Linked DNA regions of Macaca mulatta. The protein of the gene in region 1 interacts with the protein of each later gene in a biochemical or structural test. Links are inferred from orthologs where the notes say so. Each region holds a gene or a part of one and is shown on either strand. Other genes may lie near its edges. The genes, in order: TDRD3 and TOP3B.

What was found.
Region 2: the proteins of TDRD3 (region 1) and TOP3B form a complex in vitro, tested with the Homo sapiens proteins (2 studies listed by BioGRID and IntAct, with this or other methods). The link is inferred for Macaca mulatta from reciprocal best matches to the Homo sapiens genes TDRD3 and TOP3B.

What each region holds. Positions count from the first base shown.
Region 1 is NC_133422.1:39,862,481-39,870,032, forward strand, and holds the start of TDRD3 (tudor domain-containing protein 3), read left to right. Parts: upstream 1-2,414; 5' UTR 2,415-2,553; coding exon of another isoform or gene 2,554-2,594; intron 2,595-7,552. UniProt on the Homo sapiens protein: Scaffolding protein that specifically recognizes and binds dimethylarginine-containing proteins. Plays a role in the regulation of translation of target mRNAs by binding Arg/Gly-rich motifs (GAR) in dimethylarginine-containing proteins.
Region 2 is NC_133415.1:31,014,649-31,022,081, forward strand, and holds the start of TOP3B (DNA topoisomerase 3-beta-1), read left to right. Parts: upstream 1-3,223; 5' UTR 3,224-3,319; coding exon 3,320-3,389; intron 3,390-4,557; coding exon 4,558-4,689; intron 4,690-6,658; coding exon 6,659-6,765; intron 6,766-7,433. UniProt on the Homo sapiens protein: Releases the supercoiling and torsional tension of DNA introduced during the DNA replication and transcription by transiently cleaving and rejoining one strand of the DNA duplex.

The DNA.
Region 1 (7,552 bases):
TACGTCCTTTACATTTCTTCTTACATCTAGACCTTAGCATTACTGACATTCTGGGTCAGATCATTCTTTGGAGTTCAGGGATGTCCTGTGCTTTGTAGGATATTTAGCAGTATTCCTGCTGCATCCCATGAGATGCATAACAATACTCCTACCTCCTCAGATTGTGACAACCCAGACATTGCTAAATGGATTTGGGGATGTGGGGGTTAGTTTAGGATCCACTGTCCAGAAGCTTGGTTAAATTCAGGTTAAACAATTTTGGCAAGAATACTTCTTAAGTGATGTGTATGTCTAATTGCATTACATCAGTAGGCAGATTACATTAGAGTGTCCCATTATTAGTGATTCTAGCTTTGATCTCTTAAGGCAGGGTTTTTTTTTTTTTCAAGATAAGGTACATTTTCCCTTCTGTAATAAGTTATGGCTTGATACTTTGAGACCATGTGAAGATCCTGTACTCCTAGTCTTTTACCCTGTGACTTTTAGTATCTTCTGATAAATTTTCCTGAAACAATTGTGGTTGACTTGGAAAATTGTGATTTTTCTAATTCTATCATTTGTTCTGCATTTACTATCTTGTATTCCGCTGAAAGAAAAGGTTTTGTCCTCCTTCCCTTTTATTTTTCGTGGCACTCCGAAGAAATTCAATGTGTTTCATCAATTATTGTCACCATTTTTTGGATGCTCATTTGTCCCACATTTCTCCAGTAAAAATCCCATTCTTGAAGGGAATTTAGTATTTTGTGGAGTATTTTATTATTGTAAGGACCATGCAGTGGTAAATCCTTACTGAATCACATGGCATGTGAGAACAAATGGCTTTATAACCAGTGAGCAATTCTGATGATTGGGACAACTTATCATTTTCATAGTTAACAGGTTACACTAACTGCAAAATGTAAATAATTGGTAAGAGAAAATTCTAACCACCAATAAAAATTATTGGCAATTTATTTTTGAGTCATCTACTTACATTTAAAAAGGCATATCTATTCCTGGTTCCTGGATATGATGGCCGATGACTATAAATTGAAATATACCTGTAGTATACTTATCACCTAAACACTACATACTACGGCACATTGTAGCGAACAGCATGGAGCTACTTCTGATTTAAAATTATCTAAACGATATGCCTGGGAGCAAATCTCAATACATTCCATCTAAGGAAAGCATCGCGATTTTATATCTATGACTTTTGGGAAGACCAAACGGAATATCCCAGCTGAAATGAGAAAAATCTGTATTAAGGAATTTTAGCTCCACCCTGGGCAATTATCCCCTTCCTTCCGTAACTGTCAATTTCCTCCCCAATCCCAAGAGCGCCTCTGCCCAGTTCCGCAGTCTCTGCTCCAAGTCTCTTTTTGATGATGCCCTTAGAAGCAGCAGCGGCAAGCGGCGGAGCTGGGGTTAAGTTCGTAACAGTCTTCTCCCGACCTGGCAGCTGGGGACAGTACCCCTCAAAAGTCTCTTTGCCAGCCCTACTGGACGCCGCAGAAGTGAAAGACCAAGAGGGTGGAGCAATCTTTCAGGGAGCGCCTGTACCCTTCCTCCTGTTCCTCTCTGATTGGCCAGCGTGAGTCACGGACGCCCAATCGCACGGCAGCGTCCGCCGTGCCGCTCGGCGACGGCGCCGCGCATGCCCACTCAGGGACCCACCCCGCGCCCCAGCCCTCTGGAGCGCTGGCGAAGGGCACCGGCGGGGAGGCGGCTGTGGTTGCCGGACGCGGCAGTACAGAGCTAAGGTCTCAGGGCCGCGCTGGGACACGGATAGTCCCAGGGGGAGGGCAACAGGAAAAACAAGCACTGACACAACCGCCCCATTTCCCCATATTCCCTAAGAGCAGGTTTTCTTGGGCTGACCAGTCATTTTCACTGTGGTGTCCGACTTGGGCAACTCGATCTGCCCGTGGGGACTCAAGGCTGAGCTGCATTTTTTCTTTGCGTCCCGGCGGACCAAAAGGCGAGGGGAAGGGAACGAGTCTTTATAAAAAAGTAAACTTTCGTGTAGAATGGGCTGGGGACACCTCCGAGTTTGGCTTCCCGCAACGTGACCTTTTTAGCGCCATCCTGGACGCGCTCCCTCGCAGCCAACCCGTCAGTCTCCTCAGGCCTTATCCTGCCCTCTCTGAGGTGGCCGCCTGTCGGCGCTGCAAACGCCACACTTTTGCTCTACGAAGAACCTCCTCACGACTTTCCAAGGTGTGCAACTCAGAAGAGTGCCCCCCAAAACAAGTAAAAACCTTCGGGGAAGAGGCAAAGTCCCTGAGCTATCCTGACCCTAGCCGCCGGCCCGTGTTTGGTGGATCAGGTCCTGGAGCTCGGCAGCCTGGAAGCCCCACACCAGGCCGGCCCCTACGGCCGCTCAGAAAACGCGGCGAGCGGAACCCGCACGCGGAAGCGCCGGCCGCACTGAGCATGCCCAGTTGCAGAGCCGACCAGAGGAGTTTTTTCTTTTCTTTCTTTTTTTTTTTTGGGGGGGGGGTCTCAAGTAGGAGGCCTCCCCACCACCCCCACCCCAACCCCCCACCACCCCCGGCTTAAGCAGCTACCATGGCCCAGGTGGCCAACGCGGCGTTGTCCCAGGCGGGTTGGTAAGTGGCGAGTCCCGCCGGCTGCCGGGCCGCTGGCGCGGGCCGGGGCCCCGAGGAGCTTGGGTTGGGGGCGGCGGGGTACGTGTCGGGGTAGGCGGAGGCTGCTGTCCGCCCCCGGCCTCTCCCCGGGCCCTCCGGGCCGGCTCCGCCCCCGGCGCCACGCGAGCCCAGCGAGTCCCCCTGTGTCCCCTCGAGGCGGCGGCGGCAGCGGCCTGGGCCTCGGGCGGCGGGCGGCGGGCCTGGGGAGAGGCCGGGGGCCGCGAGCCGGGCGGGTGGCGGCCCAGACCCCGGCCGAGTGGAGCGCCGGAGAGGACCTGCAGCGCCTTCGCGCTGCCGCTCCGGGGAGGGGGTGTTTCTGCGGCGGGACAAGGGGAGGCGAAGGCTGGGAACGAAGTGCGGAGCAGAGGGACCAACGCGGCGGAGCCCGCGGGCCCATAGGAAGTTGAGGGCAGAGCGGCACACAGCCTGCGCTGCGGTCGGAGCCGCCTCTTCTTGCCCCTTATTTCAAAGTATAGTGTGGACCAGTGTGAAGCTGCCCTCCGCGTCACACACACAACTTCTGGAGCTAAGAATGACCGCATTGTCAACTCGTGGGGGGTGCTCGGTAGAACTTTTCTTGAAAGGATGGTGTTCTGAATTTAAGAGGCCTTTCGTGTCAAGATTTTCAGGATTTGAAAACAATACAGAATTATGTGAAGTTAGGCAGTTTCTGGAATTGCGGCCATTACGGTTGTAATCATCCGGTTTAATTCAGTAACGCTTTTCCCAGACTTGCACAGGCACATTCTGGGATGAAGGGTAGGAACGGGGATGAAAAAGATTTGCCTTGGCTCTCTGCAATTACTGCTTTGGAAGAAAGAGTGAGGCATTAAAAGACCAAACAAAACCAGGGGGAATAGTGGTAAACCGTATGTACAGAGTAACAGATGAGTGCACTGTGGAATGGGAGGGAGAGTTAATTTCCTGAAGTGGACTTGGGAAGATGGTAAGGAAAAGGCTTTCTAGCACAGAGCTGCTAGAGACTGGGAAGCGCTTATTGTTTTGCAGAACCTACACAAGATCTGTATGGTTCGTGAAAGATGTGGATTTGATTTTGTGAATAAAGTTTTTGATCAGTGGAGGGATATAATCACAACTGTGTTTTGAAGAAGCCCTTCCTGGTTTTAAAGGCCCTTGTGTTGTTAAACACCCCATTTTACAGGTGAGGAGACTGAGGCAAAGAGCTGTTAAGTAACTTTCCCGAAGTGACATAGCTAGAAAGTGGTGGAGTTGAATGTTGAGCACAGAGGGCCTGGCTCTGGTCCTGGTTCCTTTAACTCTTATGCGTTATTGTTCCTATAGTTTTTTCACAGAACAGCATTGGCGTAAAAGATTGTAGAGTTAAAAACTCACTGGCTTCAGTTTTGTTTTTGTTAAATAGGAATCTCTTCTTTTAGTTTTTTTTACCCACAGGGGTGTCCTGAATTATCTTGGGTCGCTCTTTCATTTGCCTTTCTCCCCATTTATCATTAGATTGAGCGTTGATCCTTCACACTAGTAATATTTTCATTTACAAAGTCAGTATTTTACTACTTTCCAACATGACCCCGCCTCCTCTGGAAAGATTAGTCTCATTTTTTAGGTCCCGAACACATGCTGACTTTGTTTTCTGTGGCCTCTTATGCTCTTCCAGGGCAGGGAACTGAGTCTTATTTTTCTCCTTATCTGGATTGTCAAGAAGTGCACCAGATTGTAGGTTCTTTGTAAAGTCTAATACAGTTGACCTTGGAATGCCCCTGCCAGTCAGAATTCTCCGGACAGGGCCTCTGCAGAAGCTTAGGCAGAGTCCCACCCTGCTTTGTGATATTGTTGTAAATCTTCAGCAATGTTATATTGTAGCATTTGCTACTTTGTATTGCAACTTATCTGTTTATGTTTCTCCCACCTGTCTGTGCTGCTTCTGTGTGGCAGTAACTCATAAAGGCAGTAGTAATCTGTGGGGCTAATAAGACTATCTTTCTAGGAATTGTGAGTTTCATGTAATTCCTGCTAGGTCTTGAACAGACTAGGCATGAGGATCTCCTAGGCTTTCAGGTGGCTTCGACGAAGTCTTTAATTAGGGACTTACTATGTTAAAATTTAGAATCACAAAGGTTTAAAGGCAGAAAAGAGCACTGGAAGGAAAATTTCTGACTGAAGGGCTTTCACTAGCTCATTTTAGTTCTTACATCCTGAGTTTGCTCTTATACTTGGGGTTCTCTGTTACTGTCACTGACAAACCATTTTTCTTCGTATTCAAATGTATGTGCGTAGTTACTTGTAGAAGCTAAAAAGAAACAGATGCTAAAACATGGAAACACTATTGTTAAATCTGTTCTACAGGCTTTACCTAAAATAGCAGATTAGGGAAATATTTAGTGCTGAAAAGTTTACAATTCTGAAAATATGATCTTCAGGGGGGTACAGAAGATCTATGTAGACCAATCTGTTCAAGTTTCCATTATTTTTAAGTGCAATTTTTTTCCTTCTTAAGGTTTTAATCTTCATTAGAACCGCTGTAAAAATCAATATTTTAAAATATAGCTTCAAAAGTAGCTACCTGGCAGACTTAAAATAATTTTTTTTCTTCAATGGCCAGTAGCACACAAACGATTTGCTGATTTGAACTTAAATGTTTCAGGGTTTTCTACAGTATAGTGATTATGTTTAAATAATGCACTAAATGGTACCTTGTAAAGCTTAATTATATGAGTGGAATAACTTCATGGGGAAAAGAAATCTGACTCTGAATTTATCTAGATAACAGTATTACTCACTCTGCATTTTTGTTTTCTCTCTTCAGAGATTCATTCTCCTTTGGGATGATATCCCTGATCACTCTGAGTGGAAATACAAAATTCTACTTGTGGGAGAAAGATTTAAAAGGTTGATCTCTGGACATTTTGAATTTTTCTCTTCCATCTTCATCCTTTGTTTGTTTGTTTTTAACAGAAACATGTCACGGGGTACCTAATCAGTTGTGTTTTTGTTTTTGAAAAGGTATCTTCTGGCTGGGCATGGTGGTGGCTCATGCCTGTAATCCCAGCACTTTGGGAGGCTAAGGCGGGTGGGCAGGAGTTGGAGACCTGCCTGGCAAAAATGGTGAAACCCCATTTCTACTAAAAATACAAAAAAATTAGCCAGGCGTGGTGGCAGTCTCCTGTAATCCCAGCTACTTGGTGAGGCTGAGGCATGAGAATCGCTTGAACCCAGGAGGCGGAAGTTGCAGTGAGTCGAGATTGCACCGTTGCACTCCAGCCTGGGCAACAGAGCAAGACTCTGTCTCAAAAAAAAAAAAAAAAAAAAAAGAGTATCTTCCGTGGAATCAGTGTTGCATAGCTTTAACTCTCTCTTTGTACATATGAGAAAACTGAAGCACAGAGTTTTCAATAATTTGCTCAGTTATAAATGGCAGAACCAAGAATAGAGCCCAGATGTCTAGAGTAAAGATTCAGTACTCATTTCCACCAAAAATTAACAGAAGTGACCACATCTAATTTAAATTATTGATCAAAAGTGACACATTTTAAAATTGAAAATTGGGTTGAAGCATTTTGTGGTGTGTAAATTTACTTTCCTAGTCGAGGAAAGATAAAGGGCCTATTCTGAGGGGTGATCCTGTTAGAATCAAATAAATCTTTGCCTTGCAGTGAATCAACTAATTGCGTACTAGGCTTATCTGAAAATCTGGTACATTCTGTATTTTTTGAGGTTTAAGAATACAGTTGGCCCTCCATATCTGTGGGTTCTGCATCCTTGGATTCAACCAGTCATAAAATATTTGGAAAAATAAAAAAAAATACAACAACAAAAATCATATGACTAAAAAATAAAATACAACTTTACATAGCACTTACACTGTATTAGGTATTTTAAGTAGTCTAGAGATGATTTCAAGTATACAGGAGAACGTGTGTAGGTTGTATGCAAATACTGTACTACACTATTTTGTGTCAGGGATTTGAGCATCAGTAGTCTTTGTTATCTGTGGGGGCCCTGGGACTGATCCCTTATGGATACTGGGGGATGACTATATCTGAAAAAGTGGGACACTATGTTGTGTGTCTTTGCGTCTTTTACCCAGTAGTTTGAGTTGAAGACCCTTTAAGGTAGCATATGAAATAGCATTTCCATTTTGTTCTGAAAGAACATGTAGTCTTAGGAAGCCCAGGTTTCTGACACCCAGGGGTTAGCCATGGAGTTCTCCAGGTTTTGTTTTGTTTGTTTGTTTTGAGGGCAGAGATGGGATGGAGAGGATAAACAAAGGTCTCGTTTTAACCCCTTTGGGGTTATCTCCATTTGATTATTGGTGCTATCACCATGCTGACATCCTCTGGCCCAAGTGCATACATAACTCCTTTCCCTTCGTTTCACCTTTGAACAACTAAGAAAGGCTACAGTTTATTAAGGTCTTTATCAAAATGTAGAACTAGAAAACAACCACGAGATAAATAGAAAAAATAAGAAGCATGATGACAGTACAGGTTATAAAGTGATCATTGTGCTGTTGTATTCAAGGGCCCACTCTATTCCACATTACTTTGAAGATAGCTACTACAAAGAGGTGGAACAACGTCAGGATATTTTGCTGGAATTTCTAATTCCTGGTTTTTGACCTGTCCACAGATGAAGGGCTTCTTTTCATATTCCATTACATAGAGGCTTCTTCTCAGACACATTAATGACCATGACTAAGAAACTCAGATGCCCAGCCTGCAGCCACTGCTGTGCCTTTGTTTGTTCGGTTCTAGTTTTCTTAGCGACACACCTTTTTTCCAGGAGATTACTGGTGAATGATCTCACTCTTCAGATGAGAAACATTGTGTAGCAGCATCAGTACAACCTCTGCAGTAGCAGCAATATAATTGTACCTTCTTATACTAGTGGTAATAGACATAAAATATGAGTTTATGCATATAATAAGAGGGTAGTAGAAGTTT
Region 2 (7,433 bases), on another chromosome or scaffold:
CAGAGAATGCCATGCTTTTATTTAACCACCTCCCTGTTGACAGACATCAGCTTGTTTCTAATCTTTTATCATGATTGATAATGCTGCAGAGAACTCCCCAGTGATGTGGTTCATCACAGGCACCACCATGCCCAGCCTGAGTCTACTCCAGCACTGCCCTGTCCTGCTTCCTGGGGACTCAGAGTCCACATGGACAGTTTTGCCAGGGCCCACCACTGACTCCTGTGACTCTCACCGGGTGACTTCACTCTCCACCTGTCTCACAGCCCTTGCCCTCCCTGGGTCAGCATGCCAACCTCGGGCCCCTCTGTAATTCCTGTCTCTTTCCGGTGGCTTTCGGGACCCTACCCCTCCTGACTCGCCCTGCTAGCTCCTCATCTCCCGACCCCCAGCCTAGGCTTCTTCCACATTGCTGCCACCTCCTCCAGGCCACCCAGGCTGTCCAATGGGCAGGTCACATTTAACACACCTGAAGTCTCACTTCAGACTGCCAGTCCCTTCCTGTCATGCCTAAGCCAAAGCCATGGGTTGTCCCTTTTGCTTTTTTGTAAAGAGGTCTCACTGTGTTAACCAGGCTCTTCTCAAACTCCTGGCCTCAAGTGGTCCTCTTGCCTTGGCCTCCCAAAGCACTAGGATTACAGATGTGAGCCCATGGCAGGTGCGAGCCCATGCCCAGCCCCTGCCTCAGATCATTCTTGACTCACCTTCCCCTCCCTCTCCCATGTCCCTCCCATCTCCTCCCCAAGGACCTCACCTTCCCTGCTCCTGCCTGGACTCTTCTCCTAGGTGTCACCCAGCCCTGCCCTGTCCCTCCCCTGCTCCCATACTACAGCACGCGTTCTGGGAGGGCAGGACCTGGTGTTGCTTTGTGCTGTGTTCCCTGCATCCTGGACTAGGCCAAGCATGTAGTAGGTGCTCAATAAATAACTGGACTATTACGTTCATTCCAAGGAGTGGAATTGCTGGGATGTGCACTTGTACTTTGAGAGGGATCGCTGAATTGCTACACATAGAGGTTGTTCCCATTTAACTTCCCCACACCCTCGTCTGCTGTGTGTGCAACGACTTTGAGTCTCTCCCTATATGATAAGCACAAGCTCATTATAGTTCTGAGTTTCTTCCGTGAGTGTTGTTGGACATGATGTGATACCACAAAGGTATTTACGTGGTTGTTGTTTTGTTTTGTTTTTTTTGAGATGGAGTCTCACTGTACTGCACAGGCTGGAGTGCAATGGCATGATCTCGGCTCACTGCAACCTCCGCTTCCTGAGTTCAAGCAATTCTCATGCCTCAGCCTCTCAAGTAGCTGGGATTACAGGCACCCAGCACCACACCTGGCTAATTTTTGTATTTTTATTAGAGACGGGGTTTTGCCATGTTGGCCAGGCTGGTTTGAAATTCCTGACTTCAAGTAATCCGCCCGCCTCGGCCTCCCAAAGTGCCGGGATTACAGGAGTGAGCCACCGTGCCCATCTAGGTGGTGGTTTTTCTTCATGCGGAGATTATTTTATTTTGCTTTTATTTTTTTTGAGACAGGGTCTTGCTGTCACCTAGGCTGCAGTGAAGTGGCTGTTCTATCTGCAGGTGTAGTCATGGCACACAACAGCCTTGAACTCCTGGCCTCAAGCAAGCGATCCTCTTGCCTCAGCCTCCTGAGTGGCTGACACTATAGGCATGTGCTACCACACCCGGCTCATGAGATTTATTTTAAAAGCACATGTTTTTCCTAATATTTTTCTGGTTTCATTGTTTCTACTCAAACCTTTGCTAGATCTGGAATCGGTTTTAGTGGGAGTTAGGAAACAGGAGTCTAACTTTATTTTTTTTCCCAGCAGGTTTCCCAGTTGTCTCAATACAAGTCTTTTTTTCTTTTTTAAATACAATGCTATGTTTTTTGTTTTTTGTTTTTTGTTTTTTGTTTTTTTTTGAGACGGAGTCTCGCTCTGTCGCCCAGGCTGGAGTGCAGTGGCCAGATCTCAGCTCACTGCAAGCTCCGCCTCCCGGGTTCCCGCCATTCTCCTGCCTCAGCCTCCCGAGTAGCTGGGACCACAGGCGCCGCCACCTCGCCCGGCTAATTTTTTGTGTTTTTAGTAGAGACGGGGTTTCGCCTTGTTAGCCAGGATGGTCTCGATCTCCTGACCTTGTGATCCGCCCGTCTCGGCCTCCCAAAGTGCTGGGATTACAGGCTTGAGCCACCGCGCCCGGCCTACAATGCTATGTTTATAAACATCAGTGCTACATTTATAATGATTGAAAAAACAAAAAGGGTTCATGTGGTTTTCTTTTACTTGGCTAGCAAGTATTGAATGTCATGTGTCAGGCACAGAAAGCTGTTGCAAAGACCAACAGTGATTCAGAACAAAGTCCATCATGTCCTATTTCGGGGGTGAGGTAGTCGCTGATGATGGCATAATGTGAGTGGGTTGGAATGGTGACCTAGCCCAAGAACCGTGAGCACAGGAGGGCTGACTTATCCTGCCGGTGGTGTTGGGAGACTTGAGCTGGGCCTGTGGGCCGTCCAGCTGCACCCTCCAGGCCTGGTGGAGCTTTCTCTCAGGCAGGGGAGCGCAGGCACAGAGGCTTCAAGTGAGTGTTTGCTTAAATGATGATATTTGATTTAATTTGGCCAGAGCATGGCCTGCAAAGCAAAAGGTGGAGTGGAATAGGTGGGAGATAGATGTGACAGAGCCCTGATATCTGCTTGGTGCTGGACCGACTAGCCAGAGGGTCTCAGGCCCATCATGGATCAGAAGGACCTGGGGAGCCCAGCCTGGACATCTGCATTTTGTAAAGTGTCCTGGGGCATCCAAGTGCTTAGCTGAGGGGGTGGTGCTGCTCTCGGCCATGATGGTTCCTCTCTCCAGGTGAGTCCACCTGTAGGTGGAAGAGCCAGTCCAGAGAGGAGGGCCAGGCATCCACCCGGCCTGACCCATCACTGGAGATCCCCAGGTCCCGGCATCTTCCTAGCATGGATTTAGGAATCAAATGGACCTAAGGAGCCAGATTCCCAGGATTATCTCAGCCACTTCAGTTGACCTGGTAGTTTTGTTTTTGTTTTTGTTTTTTTAATCTCAGATGTCTTCAGGTGTCCCTAATTCCCTAATTTTTCTTCTTCTTGCCTCAGGTTGGTCTTGTTTTTTCTTTGTTAAAGTGAGTTTCCTTGTAGTGGTATAGGTTCTTTTGACAGCATTGCTATCCTGAGTGTCTTTTCTTCTCTTTAGGGGTCAGCATTGATAATAGTGCTGTGCTGCAGAAGAGTGGAGTGTAAACTTTTTCACTGCCACTGCCCCGAAACTGGAGCGTAAAGGGCTGAGACAAGATGAAGACTGTGCTCATGGTTGCCGAAAAGCCGTCCTTGGCACAGTCAATTGCCAAAATCCTCTCTAGAGGTAGGAGAGACCAGCCCTGCGCATGCTTTCTTGCTTTGGTCTGTAAGCACGGCCGTTTATGTGTTACAGGACATTTCTTTTTCCTAATGTGACTCTACCCTGGCTGGGGTAGATTGGTTCGGTCAGCAGGTGGTAATGAAGCATCTCAGAATGTCACAGTGGGGTGCATTTGCTTCCATTCCTGGCAGTGTGCCAAAGCTGGGGTTCCCAGAAGGCACAAGGCACAGCTTACAATGAAGTGGAAGGACAGTCATTGTCCACATGCCGGGCCTGGCAGGGCTGTTAGGTACAGGTAGCAGAAACCAGCCCTGGAAGGAAGGAGACACAGCCAGGACCACACCCCAGTTGAGGTCTGATGAGGCTATGCCCCAGGCATCGTCATCCCTGGATACTCCCACTGTCCTGTGGACCTCACGTCACTCCAGAGTAGCCAATGGACTGAGCTGTGGCCACAGACACTACTGAGACACCAGGGAACTGGAGAGGGAATGTCTGCCACTCACCCCCAACTCTGGCCACTGGGGTGGTTGGTAGGGTGCTGTTTCCCCCCATCTTTGAATTCCCTCCAAATAGGAAGAGTTTGGATGCTGGGTACCCAGAAATGACAGGCACCTACCTGACCTCCCCTGGCTCCAGCAGCTGAGGGGGGAAGAGACCCTCGTTCAGCTGAGAAGGCATGGTCCGCAGAGGACGGGAGGCCCCAAAAGTGGTGCCCGGTGCCCAGAACCTGAGAAAGTACGGCTGAGTGTGGTCAGTGGAGAGGGTGAGAATTCAATAATTAGAAGGTCCCTGGTAACCTAGAGTAGATCTAGAGTCCCATTTTAGTAAATGATGAATAACGTTTCAATGAAGTGAGGCAAAAATGGAATTGAAGAGTGAAAACATAAATACAGAGGAAGATCCCACCTCTGCCTGCCTGCCCCTGGCTCCTGGCAGCCTGGGGCTCTGCATCAAGAGTGCTCTGTGCTAGGTTGTTGGCAGATGCTGTTTTCCCTGAGTGCCGTCCCATCTCTTAGTGCCCAATTACCCTCAGCAGTCTGCGGAATGCTGTCACTCACCACTCTGAGGAAGGACGCTGGCCCTCTGGGAGGTGGCATCCAGGCCGGGGTCTCCACAGTGTCTTCAGCTCAGTGAAGCAGCCAGTCACTTTGTGCTTCCTCATCCCCAGGGAGCCTGTCCTCACATAAAGGGCTGAACGGGGCCTGTTCAGTCCACGAGTACACTGGGACCTTTGCTGGCCAGCCAGTGCGCTTCAAGATGACGTCTGTCTGTGGTCACGTGATGACCCTGGATTTCCTGGGTAAGCCCCTCTACCCTCCATCCTACAGAAGGGAGTTCTGCGTGGCGCTGGCCGGGGTCCAGTTGAAGCCAGGAGATTCCTCTAGGCAGGGAAGTTTGTCCCAACTCCATGAGTCATCAGGCCAGCAGATCATGGAGTGGTGATGAGAGGGTTCCTGGGTGCGGTGCCCAGAACCCAGGCTCTGGAGCTCAGCCCTGGGTCCCCATCATAGCAGCACCCCCTAGTCACTGCATTCCCTGTGCACCGTCCTATGTAGACAAAGTGGCGGCACCTATCTTAGGAAGGGCTTGACCTGTGCAGGCATTTGAGAGAAGCCTGCTGCTGTTGCCGAGTTGACCATCGTCTGTCGGTCATTTGGTGGCTGTCATTGTCATTCCTATATTGTTACTGTTATCAATTACTTTGGAAGTGCTGGTGTTAGTGACCTGCTGGGTATAGGTGTGGGGCCGTGTGGTTGGCAAGAGTCTGATCCAGGCTCTTCCCCCTGCTCTGCCAGCTCACTGGCTGGAGACGAGGGCACTGACAGCCTCTGTGAGTTTACACTTCTCGTAGTGAAATGGGTCTCACAGCAATGCCATCTGCTTCCCAAGACTGTAAGGATTCTGTGTGACAGTGAGGGCAGAGCACTTGGCACTTGGCAGAGCACACGGCAAAGCCTCAGCCCTTGTTCTTGCTGCTCATTGATGACAGTGATGACAATGATGGTGACTGGGTTGTGTGGCTGAGCATTTGGACCCCAAGTTTTATCTCCAGCTGACAGGTGGGGAGCTGGGATTTGAATTTGGCTCTGTCTGACCCCATTCTCCCAGGATGCAAGAAATGGGGCCTAGGAGGATCGCCTGAGCCCAGGAGTTCAAGACCAGTCTGGACAACATAGTGAGACCCCTGTCTCTACAAAAAAAAAAAAATCTTTTTAAATCAGCCGACATGGTGGTGCGCACCTGTAGTCTTGGGAGGCTGAAGTGGGAAGATGGATTGAGGCTGGGAGGTCGAGACTGCAGTTAGCCATGATCGTATCACTGTACTTCATCCTGGATGACAGAGCGAGACCCCTGTCTCAGAAAAAAAAAGAAATGGGCCTAAAAGAAAGCCAGACAGGCCGGGCGCGGTGGCTCAAGCCTGTAATCCCAGCACTTTGGGAGGCCGAGATGGGCGGATCACGAGGTCAGGAGATCGAGACCATCCTGGCTAACACGGTGAAACCCCGTCTCTACTAAAAAATACAAAAAACTAGCCGGGCGCAGTGGCGGGCGCCTGTAGTCCCAACTACTCGGGAGGCTGAGGCAGGAGAATGGCGTGAACCCGGGAGGCGGAGCTTGCAGTGAGCTGAGATCCGGCCACTGCACTCCAGCCTGGGCGGCAGAGCGAGACTCCGTCTCAAAAAAAAAAAAAAAAAGAAAAAAAAAAGAAAGCCAGACAGCTGAGCATGCAAGAACTGGGCCTCTGTAGATGAGTAGGTGAATGTGCTGGGCATGAGGCTCAAAAAGATGGGTCCTTTAACAGGAATGACTGCGCACATGTGTGCCCCCACAGAGTGCTGGGTGGAAGGATGGAGTTCCAGAAACTCAGGTTGGAAGTGTCAATGAAGACACCAGTGGTGGGGTCCAGTGCTCAGGCAAAGAAAGCCAGCCCAGGAATGATGCTCCCAGCCACAGGGAAAGTCCCGGAAGTGAGGCCAGAGTGGCAGCCCCCGGAGAGCTTGCTTGGCTCCTGTGGTTGGCCGGAGTGTGGTGTCAGCTCAGCAGCCGAGCAGAAAGGAGGCTGGAGGGAAGGGGGTTACCAAAGGCCTGAACCCACATCCTGGCTCTGCCTCTGATCATCATGATGACCCTGGGCAAATTGTTCTCCAAGCTTTCCCCTCCTCATTTGTGGGATGAAACCAACATCATCCTGGGGTTATGATGGTCTCGGAGGTTGAGCCCCTGTGAACTGTGAGGTGTGACTCAATGTCACTGTGACTGGTTTGTAGGAAAATACAACAAATGGGACAAAGTGGACCCCGCAGAACTGTTCAGCCAAGCTCCCACGGAGAAGAAGGAAGCTAACCCCAAGCTGAACATGGTGAAGTTCCTGCAGGTGCGTGGGGCTGGCCTGGGCATGAGCACACCCGGGCTCCCCACCCTCCACAGCTGTCCTTGCCCACCCTTGCGTGAGTCCTAATCCCCCTTGGACAGGGGGGCCTTTGCTAGCTCTTTCTGTGAGTGCCCCCTGCTGGCCCATGAGGCACCTGCAGGCACCCCCAACACACAAGGCAGTTGCCAGTGCCAACCCTCAGTCCTGGAGAGCAGGCCTTCTGCTTTTAAAATAGCTTGTTTGGGCCGGGCGCAGTGGCTCACGCCTGTAATCCCAGCACTTTGGGAGGCCGAGGTGGGCAGATCACCTGAGGTCAGGAGTTCAAGACCAGCCTGGCTTACACGGTGAAACCCCATCTCCACTAAAAATACAAAAAATTAGCCAGGTGTGGTGGCGGGCGCCTGTAGTCCCAGCTACTGGTGAGGCTGAGGCAGGAGAATGGCATGACCCAGGGAGGCGGAGCTTGCAGTGAACCGAGATCGCGCCACTGTGCTCCAGCCTGAGCGACAGAGCGAGACTCCGTCTCAAAAAAAAAAAAAAAAAAGCTTGTTTGGCTGGGGGTTTTTTCCCCTTAATTTTAAAACAAATGCATACAGATTATGGAAAATTAGAAAGTGCAGATAAGTATAAAGACAAAAAAATTATTCATAATCATATTAGCCAAGACAACT